Linked DNA regions of Chlamydomonas reinhardtii. The protein of the gene in region 2 binds, or shares a complex with, the protein of the main gene of each other region. Links are inferred from orthologs where the notes say so. Each region holds a gene or a part of one and is shown on either strand. Other genes may lie near its edges.

What was found.
Region 1: the proteins of CHLRE_12g535950v5 (region 2) and CHLRE_12g555250v5 are in contact, whole or in part, in a cryo-EM structure (PDB 8BED), measured with the Arabidopsis thaliana proteins. The link is inferred for Chlamydomonas reinhardtii from reciprocal best matches to the Arabidopsis thaliana genes EMB1467 and AT3G12260. Residues at the interface, in NP_568550.1 of Arabidopsis thaliana: Trp361, Arg362, Leu365, Ser621, Pro645, Thr646, Ala650, Arg651, Asp652, Trp654, Lys655, Ile656, Arg658, Ala659, Glu662, Val663, Asn671; in NP_566416.1 of Arabidopsis thaliana: Lys120, Thr121, Phe123, Leu124, Phe127, Tyr128, Thr129, Ser130, Asn131, Tyr132, Phe133.
Region 3: the proteins of CHLRE_12g535950v5 (region 2) and CHLRE_10g422600v5 are in contact, whole or in part, in a cryo-EM structure (PDB 7AQR), measured with the Arabidopsis thaliana proteins. The link is inferred for Chlamydomonas reinhardtii from reciprocal best matches to the Arabidopsis thaliana genes EMB1467 and CI51. Residues at the interface, in NP_568550.1 of Arabidopsis thaliana: Gly115, Asn116, Cys117, Arg118, Leu121, Lys129, Pro130, Ala135, Met136, Pro137, Lys153, Ala154, Glu156, Gly157, Val158, Glu160, Phe161, Leu162, Met164, Asn165, Arg194, Phe195, Glu197, Met198, Arg200, Ile219, Gln220, Ile239, Gly241, Arg242; in NP_196470.1 of Arabidopsis thaliana: Gly225, Ala226, Gln243, Lys245, Leu248, Pro250, His399, Glu400, Ser401, Cys402, Gly403, Gln404, Cys405, Thr406, Pro407, Arg409, Glu410, Gly411, Trp414, Met417, Ile418, Arg421, Met434, Glu437, Val438, Lys440, Gln441, Ile442, Gly444, His445.
Region 4: the proteins of CHLRE_12g535950v5 (region 2) and CHLRE_10g450400v5 are in contact, whole or in part, in a cryo-EM structure (PDB 8BED), measured with the Arabidopsis thaliana proteins. The link is inferred for Chlamydomonas reinhardtii from reciprocal best matches to the Arabidopsis thaliana genes EMB1467 and AT4G02580. Residues at the interface, in NP_568550.1 of Arabidopsis thaliana: Val203, Lys205, Val225, Ser229, Gln235, Asp236, Leu237, Gly238, Ile239, Leu240, Gly241, Arg242, Gly245, Glu246, Glu247, Gly249, Thr250, Tyr251, Val252, Glu253; in NP_567244.1 of Arabidopsis thaliana: Asn33, Tyr34, His35, Leu36, Val90, Met93, Ala103, Ile105, Arg106, Tyr108, Glu109, Thr112, Phe113, Tyr114, Ser115, Arg119.
Region 5: the proteins of CHLRE_12g535950v5 (region 2) and CHLRE_16g679500v5 are in contact, whole or in part, in a cryo-EM structure (PDB 8BED), measured with the Arabidopsis thaliana proteins. The link is inferred for Chlamydomonas reinhardtii from reciprocal best matches to the Arabidopsis thaliana genes EMB1467 and AT5G47890. Residues at the interface, in NP_568550.1 of Arabidopsis thaliana: Lys397, Asn401, Arg402, Met403, Gly404, Asp406, Asp418, Ala419, Asp420, Leu421, Arg422, Tyr425, Leu563, Asp564, Gly566, Gln570, Arg679, Lys681, Ser682, Val683, Pro685, Asn686, His689, Glu692, Glu694, Pro695, Ala696, Ala697, Phe698, Ser701; in NP_199600.1 of Arabidopsis thaliana: Lys12, Glu13, Arg15, Leu17, Leu18, Gln20, Arg29, Val32, Glu33, Tyr36, Lys37, Lys40, Ser41, Lys45, Leu46, Pro47, Ile48, Leu49, Ile50, Arg51, Glu52, Cys53, Ser54, Val56, Trp61, Arg63, Met66, Gly67, Glu69.

What each region holds. Positions count from the first base shown.
Region 1 is NC_057015.1:7,575,550-7,579,638, reverse strand, and holds CHLRE_12g555250v5 (uncharacterized protein), read left to right. Parts: upstream 1-1,288; 5' UTR 1,289-1,449; coding exon 1,450-1,539; intron 1,540-1,677; coding exon 1,678-1,800; intron 1,801-1,990; coding exon 1,991-2,032; intron 2,033-2,184; coding exon 2,185-2,220; intron 2,221-2,523; coding exon 2,524-2,649; 3' UTR 2,650-3,844; downstream 3,845-4,089. Other genes in the region: CHLRE_12g555200v5 (uncharacterized protein), read right to left, coding at 53-161, 305-364, 472-562, 854-903, 1,024-1,157; CHLRE_12g555300v5 (uncharacterized protein), read right to left, coding at 3,902-4,014. UniProt on the Arabidopsis thaliana protein: Accessory subunit of the mitochondrial membrane respiratory chain NADH dehydrogenase (Complex I), that is believed to be not involved in catalysis. Complex I functions in the transfer of electrons from NADH to the respiratory chain.
Region 2 is NC_057015.1:6,125,584-6,129,526, reverse strand, and holds the start of CHLRE_12g535950v5 (uncharacterized protein), read left to right. Parts: upstream 1-1,141; 5' UTR 1,142-1,530; coding exon 1,531-1,772; intron 1,773-1,855; coding exon 1,856-1,913; intron 1,914-2,008; coding exon 2,009-2,128; intron 2,129-2,843; coding exon 2,844-3,022; intron 3,023-3,526; coding exon 3,527-3,722; intron 3,723-3,943. Other genes in the region: CHLRE_12g536000v5 (uncharacterized protein), read left to right, coding at 1-337.
Region 3 is NC_057013.1:718,698-722,892, reverse strand, and holds the start of CHLRE_10g422600v5 (uncharacterized protein), read left to right. Parts: upstream 1-1,393; 5' UTR 1,394-1,509; coding exon 1,510-1,586; intron 1,587-1,861; coding exon 1,862-2,009; intron 2,010-2,351; coding exon 2,352-2,501; intron 2,502-2,796; coding exon 2,797-2,960; intron 2,961-3,225; coding exon 3,226-3,286; intron 3,287-3,803; coding exon 3,804-3,918; intron 3,919-4,195. Other genes in the region: CHLRE_10g422650v5 (uncharacterized protein), read right to left, coding at 208-436, 505-669. UniProt on the Arabidopsis thaliana protein: Core subunit of the mitochondrial membrane respiratory chain NADH dehydrogenase (Complex I) that is believed to belong to the minimal assembly required for catalysis. Complex I functions in the transfer of electrons from NADH to the respiratory chain.
Region 4 is NC_057013.1:4,251,231-4,255,433, reverse strand, and holds CHLRE_10g450400v5 (uncharacterized protein), read left to right. Parts: upstream 1-1,403; 5' UTR 1,404-1,481; coding exon 1,482-1,682; intron 1,683-1,790; coding exon 1,791-2,044; intron 2,045-2,451; coding exon 2,452-2,608; intron 2,609-2,914; coding exon 2,915-3,010; intron 3,011-3,198; coding exon 3,199-3,339; 3' UTR 3,340-3,958; downstream 3,959-4,203. UniProt on the Arabidopsis thaliana protein: Core subunit of the mitochondrial membrane respiratory chain NADH dehydrogenase (Complex I) that is believed to belong to the minimal assembly required for catalysis. Complex I functions in the transfer of electrons from NADH to the respiratory chain.
Region 5 is NC_057019.1:5,636,776-5,641,072, reverse strand, and holds CHLRE_16g679500v5 (uncharacterized protein), read left to right. Parts: upstream 1-1,496; 5' UTR 1,497-1,600; coding exon 1,601-1,644; intron 1,645-1,732; coding exon 1,733-1,774; intron 1,775-1,844; coding exon 1,845-1,951; intron 1,952-2,164; coding exon 2,165-2,264; intron 2,265-2,944; coding exon 2,945-2,957; 3' UTR 2,958-4,012; downstream 4,013-4,297. Other genes in the region: CHLRE_16g679450v5 (uncharacterized protein), read right to left, coding at 349-474, 784-889, 1,027-1,080, 1,157-1,224; CHLRE_16g679550v5 (uncharacterized protein), read right to left, coding at 4,041-4,052, 4,195-4,297. UniProt on the Arabidopsis thaliana protein: Accessory subunit of the mitochondrial membrane respiratory chain NADH dehydrogenase (Complex I), that is believed not to be involved in catalysis. Complex I functions in the transfer of electrons from NADH to the respiratory chain.

The DNA.
Region 1 (4,089 bases), about 1.4 Mb from region 2:
CACGTGCGCGTGCGACACCGCTCGCAACATGGCGGACTGAGGTCACACCCACCTGCGGCGGCGTGATGGGCGTGAGCTGCCGCTGCAGTGCCGCCCCGGCTGCGCCGCCTTCGCGCGCTGGGGTGAGGGAGAACGGCCTCCGCTGCCGGAGCGGCTCCACCCTACAGGGTACAAGATGAGGCAAGAGCATAATGCTTGCACGCGCAACTGGTCGGAGGGTGGGACCGCGTGGCACCATGCACGCATGCAGCAGTACATGGCGACAAGCCAGGCAACAACACTGTCAGCACGGCAGAATACTTACTTGGCCGGCGGGGGCGCAAGCCCGTACAGCTTCCGCTTGTTGCCGGTCACGTTATCCTGACTGCATGCATGATGGCCACAAGACAGGACAAGCTACGTGGTTAGCAAGGAGCGTGGAAGCATGGACCAGGCCCCAACCCCCGCCGCTCTCTTGACGTTGCCACTCACACTCTCACGGCTGCCTGGGAGTTGCGCCAGCGGACCAGCGTGTCCAGGGCTCGCCCGCTGAACACCAGCGGCAGCAGCCACAGCAACAGCTCTGTGCACCAGGTGAAAGGGCATGTCGGCCCAAACAGGAACTACCTTGAGCGACACCGCACACAACCTCACCCCTGCGTTTCTTAAGCGTGAGCCCCGCATAGAGCGTGTCCCTCCCGCTGTGGTGCCCCACCCACGTATTGCTGCCAACGTGCAATGCGCTTCACCCGTCACAACCCCCACCGGCGCAGCATGCTTCCCAGTAGCTCTGGCCCGCGCTAACTGTGCTATCCCCCTTCCACCCTGCAGACGCCCCCCCTGTGTCGACCGGCTCCACTCCACCCCGACTCACGGAAAACCAGGCGCAGCCATGGCACTGGCAGAAGCGATACGAGTGTAGATCTGTGCGCATAAGAAAATGGGCAAGCTGTTTAAAAGAAAGCCCGTGGAGACAGCCACCATGGCGGGAACCCGTCCTTTGAGCTAGTTTGAGCGCCGTGTATATGACAGTCATTCGCTGACCTTGAATTTAATGCAGCAACCGAGATCACTGTAAGGAGCGCATCGAGGCCTACGCTACGAGCAGCTTTCGGTGTGCGCACCACAGGCGCAACGACCGTATTGGCCCCGCTAGGGTCAGTATTCCATCGTGCCATTCTAAGTACGCATAGTAAATTTTCCAGTCTGGGCAAACAAAACTAAACACAAAGGTTGGGGCCCCCATTCCCATGCACAGTGGACATTGCGCTGGGGCTTGCGCAGGGCTCGGACATCTAGTCATTTTATACTGCAAAGACTGCTGGAGCTCCCCACTTGGGTGCTGTGACTGTAGGCCTTGCCGATTGAGAGTTTGCCTGGCAGGCCAACCCAGGGAGTCCGCCCTGAGGAGTGTCGCGACTTAACGTTAGGTCATACGATTAGGTCATACTTGCTCAAGAAGCTGTAGCCATGTCGTCCCGACTTGCTCAGAAGGCAGTGGAGGTCGCGCACCAGGACAAGCGCCTGTTCGGGGGTGCTGCTCGGCATTTCTACTTTGAGGTGGGCTGCGATGCCATGGGAGCCATGCCCGGGGCTGCTGCTGCTGGCGTGGGGATGTCACGCCGAGTCTCGCAGAGTGGCATGCCCAGACCCTTAGCGAGGACGTGCAGTCAACAAGCACTGCCGGTTGCGTCGCAGATTTGCCGGTGCTTGCCGTTCATTCAGCGGCTGCACAAAATGGAGGAGATGGTGTCGCTGAAGGAGCTGCGTGCCATCGTTAAGGAGAAGTTCAAGGAGTACAAGGACGTCAAGGACGGGCGGGTGGGTCGCGCCCATGTTGCATGCACAGCAACCGAACGCGGGAGGACAGCGGAGTGGGGGGGTGGGACGGAGCGGGGGGGGGGGGTAAACTGGTAAAGGCGCAGCGGGCTGGGGCTGGGGCTGGGGCAGCGGTCTTGAGCAGGTGGGGCTGATGCTGAACGGGGCTTTGCTGTCGCCCGAATGCGTGCAGGTGGTGGACCTGCTCATCTTCAAGGGCCGCGAGGAGATTGAGGTGAGAGCCAAGATGCCGGGGCTTCTCTGCCAACCCTGTGGCCAGGGTGCTGGGCCTACATCGGGCGTGCCGATATAGCTCGTGCTGACTGGCGCCGTGGTGCTGACCGCGGACCGCCGCCTACTGCCGCCCCTGCCCCGCCCCCGGCGCAGACCTACCTGCTCATGCACAAGCAGCGGCACCACGTGGTGAGCGGGGCCCCGCCCTGGCGGCTGGGGACTGGCGCTGGTGCCAGGCGTGTAGTTGCTAGGTGGATGGGCAGCGCAGCTCACTCCCGCAGGGCGTTGCGGGCAGTGGCAGCGCAGCCTGAGCCGTGGGAGCGCCGCCGCTGGTGCACCACCCCCACACTCCCACTCCACTCTGACATACACGTGTATTGGGTGCGATTCTTGTTGGCAAACAATACTTCGCACGCACGGTGTCGGCCCCATTTTCCTTGCGCTTTCCTATTAATCATACAAGTTATACAACACACCGCCGCTACACAACAGGTGACGGAGGTGGTGGAGCCCTATTACGCCAAGCAGCGCGCGGTGAAGAAGGTGACCACGAACAGCCCCTTCCTGGACAGCTTCCTGTCGTCCGGTTACGCGGCCATTGGCGTGCGCAACTCATAAACGAGAACAGCGACAGCGGACAGGGCGCACGGTACAGCGCGGCTTCTGAGATTGAGGCGGCGACGGGAGTGAGCTATCTGGCTGGTGCTGGAGGATGTTGTGAAGGGTATGTGGGGAGGGTTTCCACAACACACCATTTTGGAGGCGCGCAGTGGCGTGTGGTAGTGGCCGCCGGCTGAAGCTAGGGCTGGTTGGTGACGGCTGTGGTGCTGGACGATTTACAGCTGGTCGGGCAAAGCCTGGCCGGCACTGGCTTATGATGACGAGATAATGAGTAGGGATTACGCATAGGCTTGTGTTAGCTGTTGACAGGGCAACGGCAGAGTGCTGCGTTGCTAAGCTGTCTGAGCAGGGAATTGAGGGATGTAGAGGCGTAGAGACACGTGCAAGCAGCTTACAGGATGACTTCGGCAAGCTTTTATACTAGCATTGATCACAAGAATGGACAAGCGTCCATGCATTAGTTTAAGCTGTGTTCACACTTGCAACGAGAATGGCTTGAGGCATGCCTAGCGCGCGTACGCGTAGAGCAGGTGCTGCGCGTATGGCATGCGCTGGTCGGGCGCAAACGCTTGCCCCGACGTGTGCTTGTGCGAGGTGGGGCTCTGCGGGCTGACGTTGTAAGCGTATGTATCAGCTGGTGTCACCGGAGTGGGAGCGACAGCAGGCCATGCGCTCGGTGACTGCTGGTGCGGAGCAACTGACTGCAGCTGCTGATACGGGCCTGGCGCTGGGTGGTACCCCATGGCTGCATGGGCGTGCGGCGACGGCGGCGCGGCTGTGTGGCTTGGGTAGGCGTAGAACGACATCGTGCCAAGCGCGCTCACCGACCCCAGACTTGCACGCAGTGGCTGCTGCTGCTGCGGCTGCAGCTGCTGCGTCTGATGCGCCGGGCTGGCAGCAAACTGCGGGTCCCCACTGTAGCCAGCCGGAGGGTAGTAGGATGCTGGCGGCGCAGCCGCCCAGTGGCCGAGTGTCTGCCCTTGCAGCTGCGCGGATGGCGGGTGTGACCAGGGCTGCGGCGAGGAGCGCGCCGGCGGCCCCGCCGTCGTGTAGTGCTGCGGTGAAGCCATCGCCTGCAGGTAGGCCGGCCAGTGGCTGCTGCCCGCAACCGGCTGACCGTATCCTGGCGTCAGTCCCACGTGCGTGCCGCCAGACGGAACCGACGGCGTGGAGTGCCACTGCGGCTGCGGCTGCTGCCCCGCAGGGGCAGGAGCTGACGGCGGCTGAGGCGGGGCGCTGCGCATATGCGTCAGCGGCGGCCCGCCCGCCATGAGGGATCCCACGGGCGGCCGCGGCGATGCGGGCGGCTGTAGCAGCATGCCGGTGCCCATGCCCACCGGCGACGAGGCGGGCAGCTGGTGGCTGTAGCCGCCACCGTAAGGGTAGTGCGGCGAGCTGACGGCACCCGCCCATGTGCCCTGTGCGTAGCCGTTGCCC
Region 2 (3,943 bases):
CGGCCGCGCACCCGGCCGGCTGCCGCCCATGGGCACGCCGCCGGTGGGGCTCACTGGCGCGGATACCATGCCCTCGAACAACAGCGATGCGCCTGCCGCCAGCAGTGTGCCCATGCCGCCACCGCCGGCCGTGGGCTTGGCGCCCAACCCACGCTCCAAGAATAAGTTGCCGCCGCTCATCCACGGCGGCGCCTCGAGCCCGGCCCTGGCGGCCACGGCAGCGGCGGCGCCGGGTGCGATTGCCAGCCCTGGCGCACCTGCACTGGCCCCGCCCGCCACGGCGAACCCGCAGGAGCGGGAGATCTTGGCGACATACACAGACGCTCTGCAGCGTTAAGTCCAATCGGGCTTACCTGCATACACGGTACAGAGCCAGGTGCTGTGTGCGGTGGAGGGTTCAGGGGCAGGCTACGGACGCGTTGACGTTTGTTTTACCTTATTGTGATGACATGTGTGCGACTCGCCGTGGCGCCGCCAAAGGGCCAGTGATTATCGTATTAGGACGGTGCCCGGACTACCAAGTGCATGTGAAGGAGTTAGGAGTGGGTGAGGGATGCAGATGCACGAAACCTGGGGGAACCTGCCCTGCACGGAACTGCATAGCCAGGTGGTAAGATATTAGGAGCACAGGGGACCGTGAGTGCCAGGCATCCTAGGGAACGAGCGCATCCTAGCTGCAAGCTAGGTGACGATGGGCCGTGAGGTTTGCGCTGCATGTCCTAGGTGACGGTGTTACAAGCAGGCGTGGTATGCAACGGGTGCGATAAGGGTGCGATGGGACATGGCAAGGGGCAGGTTGGCGTAGTCCAACGTGCAGTGGTTGCAATGGGACAGGGCAAAGTGGCTGATATAGCAGAGTCCCAAGAAACAAATTGCACCCAGCCCAAGCATCGACCTGCAATGGGTGTTGGATGACACTGTGCTTGAGCCCAACCTTCTTAACATTATCGCACAGGGGCCCTGGCAGAACGTCAGGGCTTTGGGCAGCAGGGACTCGAAGCGAGGAAGAGCCGGTATGCCTTCAGGCGGTACACGGCAAGAAGATGTGCAGCTCTTTGACGGCAAGCACGTGTAAGGTCCACGTGACCAATGAGCTCTCCAAGGCCGGATGCTAGCACTCCATGGCGCTACCGCCGCTACGTCAGGCTACAGGGGCAGGACATGAGCAAGCGGCTTCGGGGATCCGCGCCCTTTGCGCGGGGGTAAACAGGGTTGGCAACGTGTCAGCAGCCGTGGCACAACGCGACCCCGGCAATTTCGCTTGCTCGCTGACTAAGTGAAGAAATTTGTAGCAACAATAGGCATTTGGCAGGCAAAACGGGGAACGGGCGACGAGGGCGATACAAAATCATCCATTGCATGCGTGCACGAGGGAGTCGCGACTCTGCAAGCTCGAATGCTTCCACATGTCCTGTTGCTTTGATTACGTTGACGCGAAGAGCTAGGCATTACAGGGTGGCGCAAAGCCGCGCCTTGCGCTATTTCTTTTGTTCAGTCTGAGCTCGCTTTCTTCTTTACTCAAGCCCAGACATGTCCGCTCGGAGGGCCTTGACGCTGGCCCAGCCCCTAACAGGGCTATGGCCAGGCGCGCAGGAGTTTGCACGCAGCATCAGCACTAGCGTGGGCGCTCTGTCGGGGCCTCCCCCGCCCCCGCCTCCCCCGCCTCCGCCTTCGGACCACCTGGAGGTTTTTGTCAACGAGCAGCCTGTTAAGATACCGAAGGGCTCTTCGGTGCTGCAGGCGTGCGATGCGGCCGGTATCGACATTCCACGGTAGGGTGCAGAGCGCAGGGGCAGTGCAGAAATGCCAAATGATTTTCTGTGCACACCTAATACATCTCTGGCCCCCTTTTCAGCTTCTGCTACCACCAGCGCCTCTCGATTGCGGGCAACTGCCGGATGTGCCTCGTGGAGGTGCGTACCTGGAGTGCTTGATGCCGCAAATTGGGCTTAAAGTATAGAGCAGGCCGCTGACCCGATTGCATGGGGGTTGGTGGCTGCGTGCACAGGTTGAGAAGGTCCCCAAGCCCGTGGCATCCTGCGCGATGCCCGCGGGCCCGGGCATGAAGATTAAGACGGAGACGCCGATGGTGAAGAAGGCGCGCGAGGGCGTGATGGAGTTTCTGCTGGTGGGTGGTGCGCGGCGAGGCATGCAGGCAGGGGCAGCGTGGAGAGAGTGCAGCCTGGGGGTGGAGGGTGTTGGCCCCGGACCCATCAGGTCAGGTTGGAGCGGCTCGCCGGAGGCGGACGGGACTGGCGCTGGCGCGGCCGAGCATATTGCTGTGGAGACTGCTCGGGCTTGAAGAGAGGCGCATGGAGCTCTGGGCCGGCTGGTATCCGGCGAAGCAGCAGGGTGGCATGGGCTGCAGCCCCAGCCTGGCACGGCAACGTTGCCAGGAGCCGTAGGGAGGCGCAAGAGCAGGCCACTACCGTGGCGCAGGCCCGGGGCAAGCCAGCACGCAGCACACGCTGCACAAATGGCAGGGGCTGGGCTGCACCGCTGCCGTCATCGCTCGGACTTGAGGCCCCCAACACTGGCGGTGGACTCGTAGCGGACTGCCCCAGCCAGCTGACAGCGGGGGTCGGGCCAGAGCCGGAAGGGTTGGCGCCATGCGGGGTAATGCAACCCGTGACTTCAGGGTGGCATTGGCGGAATTACGTTGGCCAACTCCGGCGGCAGCTTGCCCGGCCTCTCCGGTCAGCTCCAGCTCAGCCCGTTCGCGTGCAGCTGGAATTTGCCTCACCCTCGAAGCCGCAATCCTGTGCCGTACCCACCCCGTAGTCCCCCCGCCACTGCCCACGCTCTCAGCCACACCCGCCCCCGCCCCGCCCTTTGCCGTGCAGATCAACCACCCGCTGGACTGCCCCATCTGCGACCAGGGCGGCGAGTGCGACCTGCAGGACCAGGCCATGATCTTCGGCAGCGACCGCTCGCGCTTCGTGGAGGCCAAGCGCGCGGTGGAGGACAAGAACCTGGGCCCGCTGGTCAAGACGGTCATGAACCGCTGCATCCACTGCACGCGGTAGGGCGGCGGGGGCGGCACAGGGGGGAGGAGGCACACGGGGGAGGGACACGGGGGAGGCACAAGGCAAAGAGTTTGGGGGGCGATGGAGGGGGTTGATGAGCAGTGGGGGCAACGGGGATGGGGAAGGGAGGCAAGGGTAGGAAAGTGGAAACGCAGGCAGCGGCTGGATGAGCAATGAGGGGAAAGGGTTGGGCAGCAGCAGCGGGGGAGGGGGAAGGAGGGATGGGGCATCAGCGACATGGTTACAAACGGTCCCGGCGCCCTGACCTTGCGATGCGTGCACCCCTGCGTTCGCGGTCTACAAAGACCATGCACTGGCGCTCACTAGGCAAAGCGTGGGAGGCAGCTTGGAGTAGCAGCATGTGCCGCCGCAAAAGCATTTAAAAGCGCAGGGCGGGATCCAGGGCTGGGACGAAGTCCCGACTGGAAGTACCTCTGCTGCCCACCTTTCGCCATTCCCCAACCGCCCCTTTCCTTGTCCGGCAACCCCGATGCGTGCAGCTGCGTGCGCTTCGCCAGCGAGGTGGCGGGCACGGCGGAGCTGGGCGTGACGGGGCGCGGCCGCGACAGCGAGATCGGCACGTACGTGGAGAAGCTGATGGGCTCGGAGCTGAGCGGCAACGTGGTGGACCTGTGCCCCGTGGGCGCGCTCACCTCCAAGCCTTACGCCTTCACGGCGCGCAGCTGGGAGCTCAAGGTGGGTGGGTGCTTGGGGAGGGCGAGGGGCAGGGGAGCGGGATAGGTGAATCCAAGTCCCAAAGAAAGCAAGGGGGGGCGAGGGGGGGAGGGGCGCACGATACGAGGGTGGGGGGAGGAGCGTGGTTTGGACAGGCGCGAAGGAAGGGCGTGGAGAGGGCGAGGTAAAGGGAGCGGAGGGAGGCACAGGTGAAGGTAGAGGTGGAGTGCGTGATGCTGGCA
Region 3 (4,195 bases), on a different chromosome or scaffold from region 2:
GGGGCAAACGGAACACAGGGAGCATGTCTGGTCGGTGTCATGGGCCGGCTCAGCAAGGCGCTAGATTGGTGTTGCGGGGCAGGCCAGCACGCGCTGGCGACCCATGGCTGCTACACCCTCTGGCCACGAGGGCAACGACCAGGACACCTCACAAACACAGGCATCCCAAAAGCCGCGCGCGCACACGCGCGCCGCCACGCCACGCACCCTCGGCCGGGAAGCTGCCGCCTGCTGCTCCTCCCGCCCCCAGCGCCACGTCCAAGAGCTCGTGTGACACCGCCTCCCACTGCCGACCTAGTGCCGTGGCTGCCGCGGCTGCCGACGTGGGTTCCAAGGCACAGCTACTCGTGCCTCCAGCGCCTCCGGCGCCGCCTGTGCCCCGTCCCGCCAGGATTAGCAGCACGGTGTCGTGCAGGGCGCGCCACATGGGGGCCGCCTGGGCAGGAGAGCAAGGGCAGGCAAGTTGCAGGATGGCGGATGCAAAGCCAGATACGAAGTACGTACCACAGGGCCATCGAACTTAGCCTGGCGGACAGTCTCCGGCTCCAGCACGGCCACTCCATACTGTCGCAAGACTTTACAGAGGCTGGTAATAGCCAAGCGCGCTGAATTGGGCGGCCCGAGCTGCTGCTGCTGCTGCTGCTGCGGAGCGCTTCGTGCCGAAGCCATGTCGCCGCAGATAACCCGTGTATTCTTGCGTGTTGAAACGTCAATGCTGGCGCACGTCCTGAACTACATTATGAAATGTTGTAGGACCACTGAAATGCCGTGACGGCCAAGCTGTCGCTGACCTTCAGTTGTGCAGGAGTTGGTGCAGGACGCTTCTCCTGTTAATCATTTTGATATTGCATGAAATAGCTTTTTTGTGGAATTCTATGCAGTTTGCAGTGATTGCACGCAGGCAGGGTTTTGGCCAACCTCGATGATGGAGAAAGGTATAGCGAACCCCGCGCACCCTATGGTAAACGAACACGCACCTTATATCAAGGAACGGAAGGGGCTACACTCTGGCGGAGGCACAGTTGACGCTAGGGTGCTCTGCAGACATCGGGGCGTGCCAGGGCGTGCCAGGACGGGTTCTGACTCCCCCTGCCGACTAGCTTGCACGCCCGAGCTGTGCCCCACCCCTCCTCGACCCCTAGCAAGCATTATGCCTCAGCCCACCACAGAACAGCAAGGTCACCCCGTGGAGAGGCCGGAGGAGGGGCCACGTCTATCAAGTGAGTTGCCGACCCGATTGCAACATGCCCTCAGTTATCTAAGCTGGTGTAAAATATCGAAGGATTTCTCCCACGTTGCGGCTCGCTAGAGCTACTGAGTGCAATTGAGGGGATGCATGAGGGCGAGTTACTCGATCGCACAGTGCACTCCTTTGTAACTACTCAACTGGCTACATTTACTTAGGCAGAGAGCGTAAATACTTGGGGCGCCTGTAAGAGGCGAGAGTTTGCTTTCCGCAGGCCCATAATCAAAGGCCGCATACTTCTTTTGAGCAGCTAGCCTGCCACCATGCAGCGCACCGGTGGTCTGGTTAGCCAGCTTGCGGGAGCGCAGCTGACTGGCGCGCTGCAGGAGCTGAAGACTGGGTAAGGGATACGCTCGGGAGGGCAGCACCCGAGTCCGGTTGCTCTTAAGGAGGCCAGCTACACACCCTGTTTCAGCAATCTTTTAGCATGTTTGCGAGGATAGTATTTAGGCACGCGAGTAGCTTGCCGGAACGCCGTGTGGCGCGAGACCCGGCCACGTTGCTGCTCCAGGGCTCGCTCTCGTCGTAGCAACTTTGCGCATGCGCGACAATAAAAATATGGACTAGTATGGGCTGGACGACTTGCATTGACGGCGCTCTGGCTGGTGCATGCAGGGTGCTTCTGGCCTTCAGCACTGCCGCTCCCGCGGCTGGTGCTCCCCCTCCGCCTCCTCCGCCTCCTGCTAAGACCAGCTTTGGTGGTCTGAAGGATGAGGACCGCATTTTCCAGAACATTTACGGTCGCCATGACCTCAGCATCAAGGTGCGAGGCGTGCCAGCATCCGTCGCTGGTCGCGGGATCCTTCAGTGGGCTCCGCGCAGTCTAGTCAGTGCTGGGGAGGCTGCTATGGAGCTCAGGCGCGGGCACAGAGGGGCCGCTGGCTGGCGCAGGGCTGGCCGTGCCACGTTGCGGGGGGGGGGGGGTCGGGCGTGGCAGGCCAGGTGTCAGGACGCAGCGGTGGACGTGTGTGTCCGTTCGAGACACGTGCTGGGGTGTTGGAGATGTCGCCCAGCCCAAAGCATACGCTAAGATGTGTAGCTGGATTAGACACTGGGAGAGCTGACGCCTGACGATGAGCGGGGCTGATTTTCTCAATACCCTCAGGGCGCCATGTCCCGTGGCGACTGGTACATGACCAAGGAGATCATCGGGAAGGGCCGGGACTGGATCATCGACCAAATGAAGAAGTCGGGACTGCGCGGCCGCGGCGGCGCCGGCTTCCCCTCCGGCCTCAAGTGGAGCTTCATGCCCAAGGTGTGTGTTCACGGGCAGGGATGGGCCAGGATTGGGGTGTGTGGGTGGCCGTGTTGGGATGGGGGCCAAGATGGGTGTCTGGGGCTGGTGGCGTGGTCACGGTGGGGTGCTGGCTGAGGGGGGTTTGTCCATTCCAGTCACATGTGGACGGGGCGGGAGCGTGGAAAGGTGGGGTGCTACGGCATGCTGCGGTGAATGGGGACATGCCCCCGTCTGCTGCCTGCGTCTCGCCCACGCCCGCCCGGGCCTGCCCCAACCCCCCCCCCCCAACCCGGCCTCCACCTCACCGCCCCAGGCCTCTGACGGCCGCCCCAGCTACCTGGTGGTGAACGGCGACGAGTCGGAGCCGGGCACGTGCAAAGACCGCGAGATCATGCGCCACGAGCCGCACAAGCTGGTGGAGGGCTGCCTCATGGCGGGAGTGGCCATGGGCGCGCGCGCAGGCTACATCTACATCCGGTGGGTTGGGTTTGGGGTGGGAGGGGACGCGCAGGGGCAGGGGCTGGGGAAGGGGAGGGGGCGGTGTGGCGCGGGTGTGGAGGACGCGGCTGGGCTGGGAGCGTGGGATGGGATGGGAAGGGGTGTAGGGATGGACGGGGGCAGGCAGAGCGGGATGGAGCACTTTTGCTGTGGATGGCATAATTGTTTCGATAGCTTGATAGCTGCACGTACTGACATCATCGTCACATCCCACTCATATGGCTTTCATTGTTGATGTCTGCAGTGGCGAGTTCGTGCAAGAGCGCCGCGCTGTGGAGCGCGCCATTAGCGAGGCGTACGCCAAGGTGCGCTGCAGGAGGTGGACTGGCTGGGTGGGGTGCTGCAGGAGGCGGACTGGCTGGGCGGGGTGCTGAAGGAGGCGGACTGGCTGGGTGGGGTGCTGAAGGAGGCGGCAGGGGTGTATGCACAGGGAGCAGGGGCAACGTGAAGGGGGGGGGGTGGCAGGGATGTCAGCTGGGTGCGGCCGGGGCGGCAGCACGGCGGGCCGATGCGGATGAGGACGGGCGCGAGGAGGAGCGGAAAGCATTTAAGCCGATGGCAGTTTATGCGGCCGGAGGCTCCTGCCTAGGATGGAAACGCAGGCTACAGTTTCAAGCGGGGCGCAAGCTCCGGGGGAGGGGCACGAGTAGCTGGAGTGCCTCGGCAAGCTGCAAACGGGCACTTGAACTCGGTCTGACGCTACGGCGTATATCTGGGGCATGTCCGCACCTGCTGACCCCGCCCCTGACTCCCTCCTCCCTCGTTGGGCTCGGGCATGTAACCCGCCTGTTCCTCGCGCTGCTCCTGCTCACCTCTCCTCAGGGCTTCCTGGGCAAGAACGCGTGCGGCAGCGGTGTGGACTTTGACCTGATGGTGCACTACGGCGCCGGCGCCTACATCTGCGGCGAGGAGACGGCGCTGATCGAGTCGCTGGAGGGTGAGGAGCAGCAGGGGGTGGAGACGCGATGGACGGGGAGGGTGGGGTGGGGTGGCGCTGGGGAAAGGGAGGGCCGGGCCCGGGGCGCAAACTGGGTGCAGGTTGTTTCACGCGGCGGGAAATTAGGGCCTTGGCGGGAGGTGGGGAGCTGACCGGCGAAGCATGGGGCAGGACGTGCGCGAGCGTTATTGATCTGCCGCAGGCTCGGTTGTGGTGGCTGTGGCTGTACTGTTTGTCAACCGCTATGTGTCTGTGTGGTGCACTCCGCCGCCGCCGC
Region 4 (4,203 bases), on a different chromosome or scaffold from region 2:
GGGTGTCGCTGAAAGAAACAATCATGTTTACCGTATGCCATTTAAATTGAGCAGCAGGTGCCGCATAAATGGCGGCACAGCTGTAGCCTGGGCTACATGACTGTGTGCGTGGCACTGGTGCACCAAGCGCATCCTGCTTTTAGAGGGCAGCACGACTCGGCAAACGTGTAACATAAACCGTTGATTCACGCGTGTACTTGCGCTTTGGAAGTCTTGCGCATCTTTGAACGTGTGTGTATGTGTGTGGGGTGGGGGGTGGGGGGGCTCGGGTTTTGGTTGGCAGTGGGTGCAGGGGGGGATAATCTGTTGGCAGCCGCTGCACTGGCTGCAGTGTTGGCAGGGGAAGCACTTCTTAAGCATGAGGTGGCAAGGGAACATGGGCAGGGGGCTTCGTGACGTCGGGCAGAGTGAAGGACATACGCAGCAGTGAAAGCTGAGCCAGGAGTGTCCACTGTACACGTTGCATCGAACGTGTAGGGGGGGGATTGAGTTTGCTAACACCTGCGCGATCGAGAGTTGCGCAAGCAAACCTTGGCCTTGGACCGTGTGCTGGACAGGACACTGCACGCAACCACCTTCGCAATACAGGAAAAGGTAATAGTCACGATGAGCTCTGACAGTGGCGCGGGTCTTCCGCACGACCTGACACGACCCGGCCGACGAGCGTTTGCTGGTCGTGCGTGAGCAAATACCTCTTAGTCCTGCCTTTTACCTTGTGACAATACGACACAATGTCTCAAGGGGTGATAGCGCCAGCGGCAGCGCCCCGTCGACGAGCGCTGACGAGCGCTGCTGGCGCACAGGTCAGCTGTCAGTATTCACTGTCACCGCGCGCCTCCGCGCGTGAATCAAGACTTGCGCTTGCAGCGGGTTGATTGTTGAGCAAGCGGGTTGAGTGACCGACCGCACATGCGTGCGTTATCCACGCTGAACTGCCACGGAACCCTCGCGGCCTGTCCCTGCCTGCAAGGGCGCGTTCTTACTTCTTACCCTTATCACGCCTATCGCCTCACGTCAGAGGGCGGATCCGCGCACTAGAGGAGCAAACAGGGCGCCCGACGCAGCTCCTCTATGCTGCGATGCAGGGCGCCTTGTTTGCTCCTCCAGGGCGCGGATCCGCCCCCCGGACCTCCCCGCACACGGCCCTTGCCGGCCTTCGCAGCTTCGCCTGCTCATCGCACGCTGCACGCCGACACATGTCGCTCCTGTCTTGGTGCCGATATCATGCTTTTCGAACTCTTCACCATTGTGGCAATGCACTGCCCCGCTGTCGTCAATAGCGGGGAAGGGGGAGGGTGAGAAGCGGCTGGCCGTGGCCGCGCGGGTACGGCGTGCCGATTCCGGCGACCGGTCGTGCCACGATGCCACTTTGCCGCCAGGTCGCACAGGTGTGTTAACGTAGTCTAGGTGCATAGGGGCTTGCAAGAGCTTGACTAGTGCCGGCCAAGGCGACTCAGGAGAGGCACCAATTTCGCGACAAAATGCTGTCTAGGGCCCTGCTCCTCGCAGGGCGCCTCGCCGCGACTGGCCAGCAGCAGGCAGCTAGCACCTCGTCTCGCGCTGTCCAGCCGCTAGGCTCGCTGCTGCAGCGGTGCAACTTTGCCACCAACTCGACCGATATCTTCAACATTCACAAGGACACGCCAGAGAACAATGCTGCGACCAGCTTTGAGTTTAGCGAGGCAAGCGAAAGAGAGGCGTGGAAGGGCTGTCAGGCACACACAGAAGGAAACGCGTGCATCAGCCCAACACTCTCTACCTGCTTGACCTGGTGCGCACCGTGCATGCAGGCTACTCTGAAAGTTGTCAACGATATCATCGCGCGGTACCCGCCGAACTACAAGCAGAGCGCCATCATTCCGGTGCTGGACGTCACGCAGCAGGAGAACGGCGGGTGGCTGAGCCTCGCGGCCATGAACCGTGTGGCTAAGCTGCTGGACATGGCGCCCATCCGCGTGTATGAAGTGGCCACCTTCTACACCATGTTCAACCGCACGAAAATTGGCAAGTACCACGTGCAGATTTGCGGCACCACTCCTTGCAGGTAAGCAAAGGGTGTCGCCTCCCAGTGGAGGGGCTGCTGGGTTAGCCGGGCACAGCGGCGGCGGTGCAGGGCCACGTCGAGGAAGGTGAAGGGGGAGGAGGGAAGGCGGGCGTGGAGGGAGACAGAGCACGGGGACTGGGTTCGTCCGGCACGCGGGGCGTGCGGTGTCGCCTACGAACAGCGGGGTCTGCAGCGCCATCCACAGGCGTGCCGGAGCGCTGGCATGCCGGGGCCCCAACCATATTCGGCCTTCACGGCTGGACTCCGGACGCCCGTGCCAGTGGGCCCTTGCCCAGCCCCCGCGACTGCATACGCACATGCGCATCGCGTCGCCCAACCCCACTCACCCGGAACCTGGGCTTCCCTCCATCTGCGCCTCTCATTCTTAAACACACACACGTACACAGGCTGCAGGGCTCCCAGAAGATTGAGGAGGCCATCACCAAGCACCTCGGCATCGGCATCGGCCAGACCACGCAGGACGGGCTGTTCACACTGGGCGAGATGGAGTGCATGGGCGCTTGCGTGAACGCGCCCATGGTGGCCATCGCCGACTACACCAAGGTGCGGAGGAGCGTTGGAGCGCGTGGGAGTGCGGGGTGTTGGGTGTGCGGGATAGCGAGGGGTAGCGACGCTAGGGGCTGAGGTTGCAGCGCAGTACGGTATGTGCTCGTTTAGGTTTATGGAGTAGTGTACGTCGCGCGTGGGAGCGGCTGGGCGCGTGCTATAGCCAGGATTTGTCGGCTGGCCGTCATTGCACAACCGGCCTGCCCCGCCCATTCAGTGCGCGAGTCTTATCGTAAACCGCTGCTGCCAACGCGCCCCTTGTGTGCTTGCATCTAAACTACCACTGCTGCCGCACGGCTGCAGGGTGTGTCGGGCTTTGAGTACATCTACTACGAGGACCTGACGCCCAAGGACATTGTCAACATCCTGGACACCATCAAGAAGGGAGGCAAGCCCAAGGTGCGCGGGCGGGGGAGATGAGGGGCCGCAACCGGGCATGAGCGCGGGGCGCCCGCACAGGTCTGCGGTGCGTGCACTGTGGGGATGGAGGCTCGCGACACGGGTCGCATTGCGGCCGGGTGCATTGCCCTGCACACCCGCAACCCTCCAACGACCGCTTCGCTGCCCCTTTTCCTGCCTCATCGCAGCCTGGGTCTCAGTACCGCTTGAAGGCGGAGCCCGCCGGCGCCGTGCACGGCGGCGAGAAGTGGGTGCCCAAGGACGGCGAGACCACGCTGACGGGGGCACCCCGCGCGCCCTACTGCCGTGACCTGAACGCCACCGCGTAATCGGCCGTGCTCGTGGCGGTGGAAGATATGGCAAGCGTGCGGGCGTGCTGTGGGATGCAGCGTGTCTGGAGCGGCGGAGGGCGGGCCAAAATGGTCCATGGTGTGGGTGTGGAGGTCGTGGTGGCGGTATGCGACGGCAGCTCTTACGGATGGCAGGGTGCGCTGGGCGCTCAGGTGCCACATTGGCGGAGTGCCGCAGGAGGTGTGGCTCTTGCAGAAGGGCAGTGGCTTATGTCTGACTAGAATTTAGCTTAGAATGGACTTGAGGGGTATGTGTGAGGAGCTTTTACGTATGTGTGGGGCTTTATGTGGATACGTGCGTGGACGCAAGCAGGAAGAACATGTGACTAGCTTTGTACGGGCATGCCGGCGCAGGGTTGCCGCCTTGCAGGAAAAGCTTCGACTTTGTACGGGCATGGCGGCGCAGGGCTGACGCCTTGCAGAAAAAGCTTCGACTTGAATGGAGGCCACACGATTTCCTTTCCGCTCTGGTCTACGTACGCATTAGTTCCGCAACGCACGTCGACAACGATTGCCTTGGAACGCCAGCGAGGCTGGGCGAGCACGGTGGTGCGCGTCTGGGCCTGCAGCATTCCCATATGCAGCTTGGGTCATATCATAGTCTTGTTCGTGTGCGCCGGTCGGGTCAGGGGTAAATCCAAGCGGCATCTTGCGCCACGGCGCCAAGGGGGGAGGGGGGGACTGCACGATCGTGCAGGCCTCGGCTGGAAGACTCCATGCACACCCAGACTGGCGTTGCTATCATACCATAGCTTAGCTACTTGGCTCTATCAAGTTTTACGTTGTTGACACTCGGCAATACCAGCCTCGAAGCCATTTGAACCTCTGCAGAACTTGACTGAC
Region 5 (4,297 bases), on a different chromosome or scaffold from region 2:
AGAGCTCCACCCTGTCTGGCTGCAGTGATACACCACCTGCTGACAGAGACACGCCGCCTGCCGCCTGTCCCTCACGTCCCCACCCATCCCCGCCCGTCCTCGCACCGCCGCACCACGACACAAACCAGACTCTGCCAGCCGCCCCCTCCAGCTCTCCAGCTCCCCGGCGCGTTCAGCTGCCTTGCAAACATGACGTGCTAACCCGCGCGCCCCACAACCCCGCGGCTCTCTGCCCCCCACACACACACACTCCGTTCATTGCGCTTGGAGTTAACGGACCCCTACCGCCCCTCCACCACCCACTTCCACCACCACGCCCTCCCCCCAGCGCTCCCATCCGCCTCTCACCTTGGCCACCTTGAGCGCCACGCGGTACTTCTGGCCCAGCTTCTCCAGCTCCGCCAGCACGCAGTCGGTGATGCAGGGCTTGCACTCGGCGTACAGGCAGTCCACCATGCCGCGGACCAGGTCGATCTGGGTCAGGGGAGGGAGGGAGTGGGGGAGGCGGAGTTTGCGATGTGGGTTGGGAGGGAGGCGGCAGCAGAATGGCTACGGTATATGTGAAGTATGCTGTGCCGCGCTGTGCGGGTTGCTGCAGGTGGTGGCAAGAGGGACGAGACAGGCTGCTAGGTGCTGAGACGGCGCCCCAGCAATACTGCGACGTGTTTCCTTCGCCGCTGCCGCGACCGGCCCTCGCCCGGCCCCTGCCAACGCTTCAACCGGGCACGCAGACTAGCATAGTGCTCGCTAGACCCTTGGTGTTCTGCCCCAGCCCCAGCGCACCTTGTTCTTGATGGAGAAGTTGATAAAGTTGGTGTCCACCAGCACCTGATACGGCGGCCCCAGCTGCGTGTTGTAGCGGAAGAACAGCGCCGACGACACCTTCTCACTGCAGCACCACGTGGGCAGCAACAGGGAGGTGACAAGTCGGGAGCAGCATGATGTGTGAGAGCATGCCCAACGATTGACGCTCAGGGTTTTGGCTGTGGCCAGCGTGCTAGGGCAGAGCGCCGCTGCTGCACTCACACGTGGCGGACCTCGTCCTCCTTCTTCTCCGTCTTCTGACGCTTGGCCGGCGGTCTGCAATGAAGCGTGACGTCAGGCCGTGACGCTGGCTCAGCTGGGGACGGGGGGCCGCCGCGACTGCGCGACTTACTCTGCGTCCTTTGGGTTCAGCATCCGCTTCACCTCGGCAAATTTCCGGGTCTTCTTCATTTTCCCCATTCTTGTAAGCTTTTAGCGAGTAAGATGTAAGGTCTGAGCTTGGCAGAAACGCGAATTCGGCTCAGCGCGTCAGTTCTGTGGAGGCGGCAGGCGAAGGGTTGTGCTAAATGATTCACGGTGATGTGCAAGGCAGTCCTTTGAGTTATTGTTTGCTAATCATTTTTGACTTGGGGCTAGGCCAGCATAACAAAGAGCACAGACGGAAATGCTGCATGGGGCCGGTGGGGCGATTTGGTTTAGTGCTGCGGGTGCACCACCGGACGGAAGTGCACAAACTATAGAATAGCAAGATAAACGCTACCGAAGGGCCCAAGCGTGGGAGAAGGCTCTTGGCAGGGTTTTGCGTTGTTCGGCCCCTAGCGGCTTACTGAGCACCATGGCTTGGCGCAACTCTCTTTCCAAGAGCATGCAGGAGCTTAGGTGCGGCTATCTTAGCCCAGGACCAGCTCTGCGCTGATTGCGCCTTCTCGGAACTAGAAGACTGAGCCTGCGCGCTTTCTAATCGCAGGATTCACCTGTGCCAGACTTCGGCGGGGAGCAAGGGTGTTCGGTAAGTGAGCGGGAAGGCGTGCTCCGGTGAGCAAATGTCCTCACGCCGGATGCTGCACGCACTCGCGCAGGGACTTCATCGTTGCTAACTATGCGGAGATGAAGAAGGCGAACCCGCACTTCCCCATCCTCATCCGCGAGTGCGCGGGCACCGAGGCGTCGCTCACAGCGCGCTACGGTGAGCCCAGGGTTAGGGGGGAGTCGCTGTCTCGTGTCAGGGGGCTGGCGCGACCAACGCATCCATCAGCGGGACCTGGAGCAGGCCCCACCTGCTGCATACACGCCGCGAGGGGCGACCTCTAGCAACCTTGGCTTACGGCCGCACACGGTTTGCAACCCCACCTAACGTCCGCCTGCCCCCCTGCCCCCCGGCACACATACACATACGCAGACTTCGGCGCTGAGAAGTCGGTCAACGTACAGGGCGCCACGACGGGGGCGGTGCAGCAGCAGCTGGAGCAGCTCATCCTGGCGGGCCAGTCTATGCCCAAGTGGGTGGGGGCCTGCGGGCGCGGTGTGAAGTGGGGGGCGCGCGCAGTGTGAAGTGGGGTGGACCAGGCGGGGTCGGAGGGGAGCGGGAGGCGGCGGCAAGTCATGGGAGACGGAGGGGTGGGGTGGGGAACGGAAGAGGCGGGGCGGAACAGCACAGGAGAGGCGGGGTGCAGCTCGCTGCATAGGGCGCTGGGCGGTGGATCCGGTGATGGACGCAGCGCAGCGGCCTAGATGTGCTTGGGTAAGGATGGACCGCCGTCCATGAATCGTGCTCTGGGTGTTGTGTGACAGGGTGAGGGTTTTGCCGGCGCCTCCCTGTAAGCGCCTCCCTGGGTGGCGCGGGCAGAACCCTCAACCGACTGCACAACGCACAGAACGTGACGTAAGGCCGGCGGTCCGTCCTTGACGGGAGCCAGCAGCGCCCTGGGTGCAGGGAGCGTGGACGCGGGTCGCCTGGCCTGAGCTCAGGGGGTCGTCACGCGCGGAGCTATTGCTGGGGCGCATTCACGCGACCATTCGCGTGAACGCATTCAAGCAGCTCTTCCATGCTTTTACATGCCAGGTGGCGGCACGAGCACCAGCTACAGCTAATTGATCTCGTTGCGCTGTACTGCACGTGGCGACCGTCCCTAATCTGCGGTGTGGCGCCTTGCTGTGCTCATGTCGCGCTGCGATGCAGGTCCGGCGAGTAAGCGCGCAGTGGCGAAGATCTTGGGCGACAGGCCGCCTTCAGGGCCCAGCTTTAAGTGCGGCAGGGTGCTGCGTGGAATGCTGGGCCATCGACGGCCGATCCCTTTGACACGCGCCGCTGCCAGTTGTGGCCGGCAGTGATGTATCAGCAGCTGAATGTGGAGCGATGCAAAATATCCGGCGCGCTACGTGCCGTGGCTTATCACGTGAAAGGGCAGATGGAGCTTGCAAGTTGCAAGGCGAGGCGGGCTGTTACAGATTTGAGTCTGGCTTCCGAGGTTCGAGTGTACGCCACTTTGGAATTTAGCACCACCTTTGCGGGTTAACCTTTCGATGAGTGGTCCGTAGTACTTAAGCAAATAGGTATAATAGCAACCCCAAGTCCCCGAGGGCTCGGGCTGGGCCAACGGCGCATGTGTGCAGGCGTGTCCGGCCGGGCGGTGTAGAGCGTGCATGCTATTCTTATTCAAAACGACGGCACGATGCGTTGTGCTAACAAAATGTAAACGTGCACGGTACCTACACGAGCCTCACTTATCTACAGCACAGACAAGCACGCACCACAGAAACAAAAACACAGACATGCCCGCATGGCCCTGCTACCAAGGTGTGTCACGTCTCCAGCAGTCCCAACAAACATAACCATGCTCCCGCCAACGCCTCACGTCAACATTACGTCAACAAATGCACACCCAGTTAACTCAAATGCCCCTGTCAACACTTAGCAACATGTACGGCAGCCTCCCGGCTTGTTGTGCGCTGACCACCCAGCCTCCTCCTGCGCCGCTGCTCACTGGCTGGGGTCGTTCACGGTGCCCACGAACGCGGGCAGGCCGGTGGGGGTGTGCATGATGATGAAGGCGAAGGGGCGGTTGAAAATGAACTCGGGCGTGGGCATCGGCAGCGCACAGCGCAGCATCATGACGGCGGTGGCGGCGGCCGCCACCGTGCCCTCCTCGTCCACCTCCACCACGGCCTGCGCAGCAGCAACAGGCAAAGGCAACGTTCGTTTGGCACAGGGGACGTTCGTTCGGTGGTTGACGAGTCCGTGCCAGGAGAGGAGCGCCAGGGAAGATGCAGGCAGGCTACCCTTCAATCTGGTGACCAGAGAGAGGGCTGAAGGACCATGGGCTCGCCCAGGGCCCCATGCTGCATCGGCTGCCCCCCGCCCGCACACACTCTATCGCCATCCTGGCACCATGCATACCGTACCATCGATGCATCCATGCGCGCCCTTACCTTGTGAACGACGTCGCTGACAAACATCTTGGTGTCGCTGAGGCGGCTGAAGTCGGCGCTACCTCCGAATGCCTGCTTGACGCCGAGCTTGTGCAGCACGGTC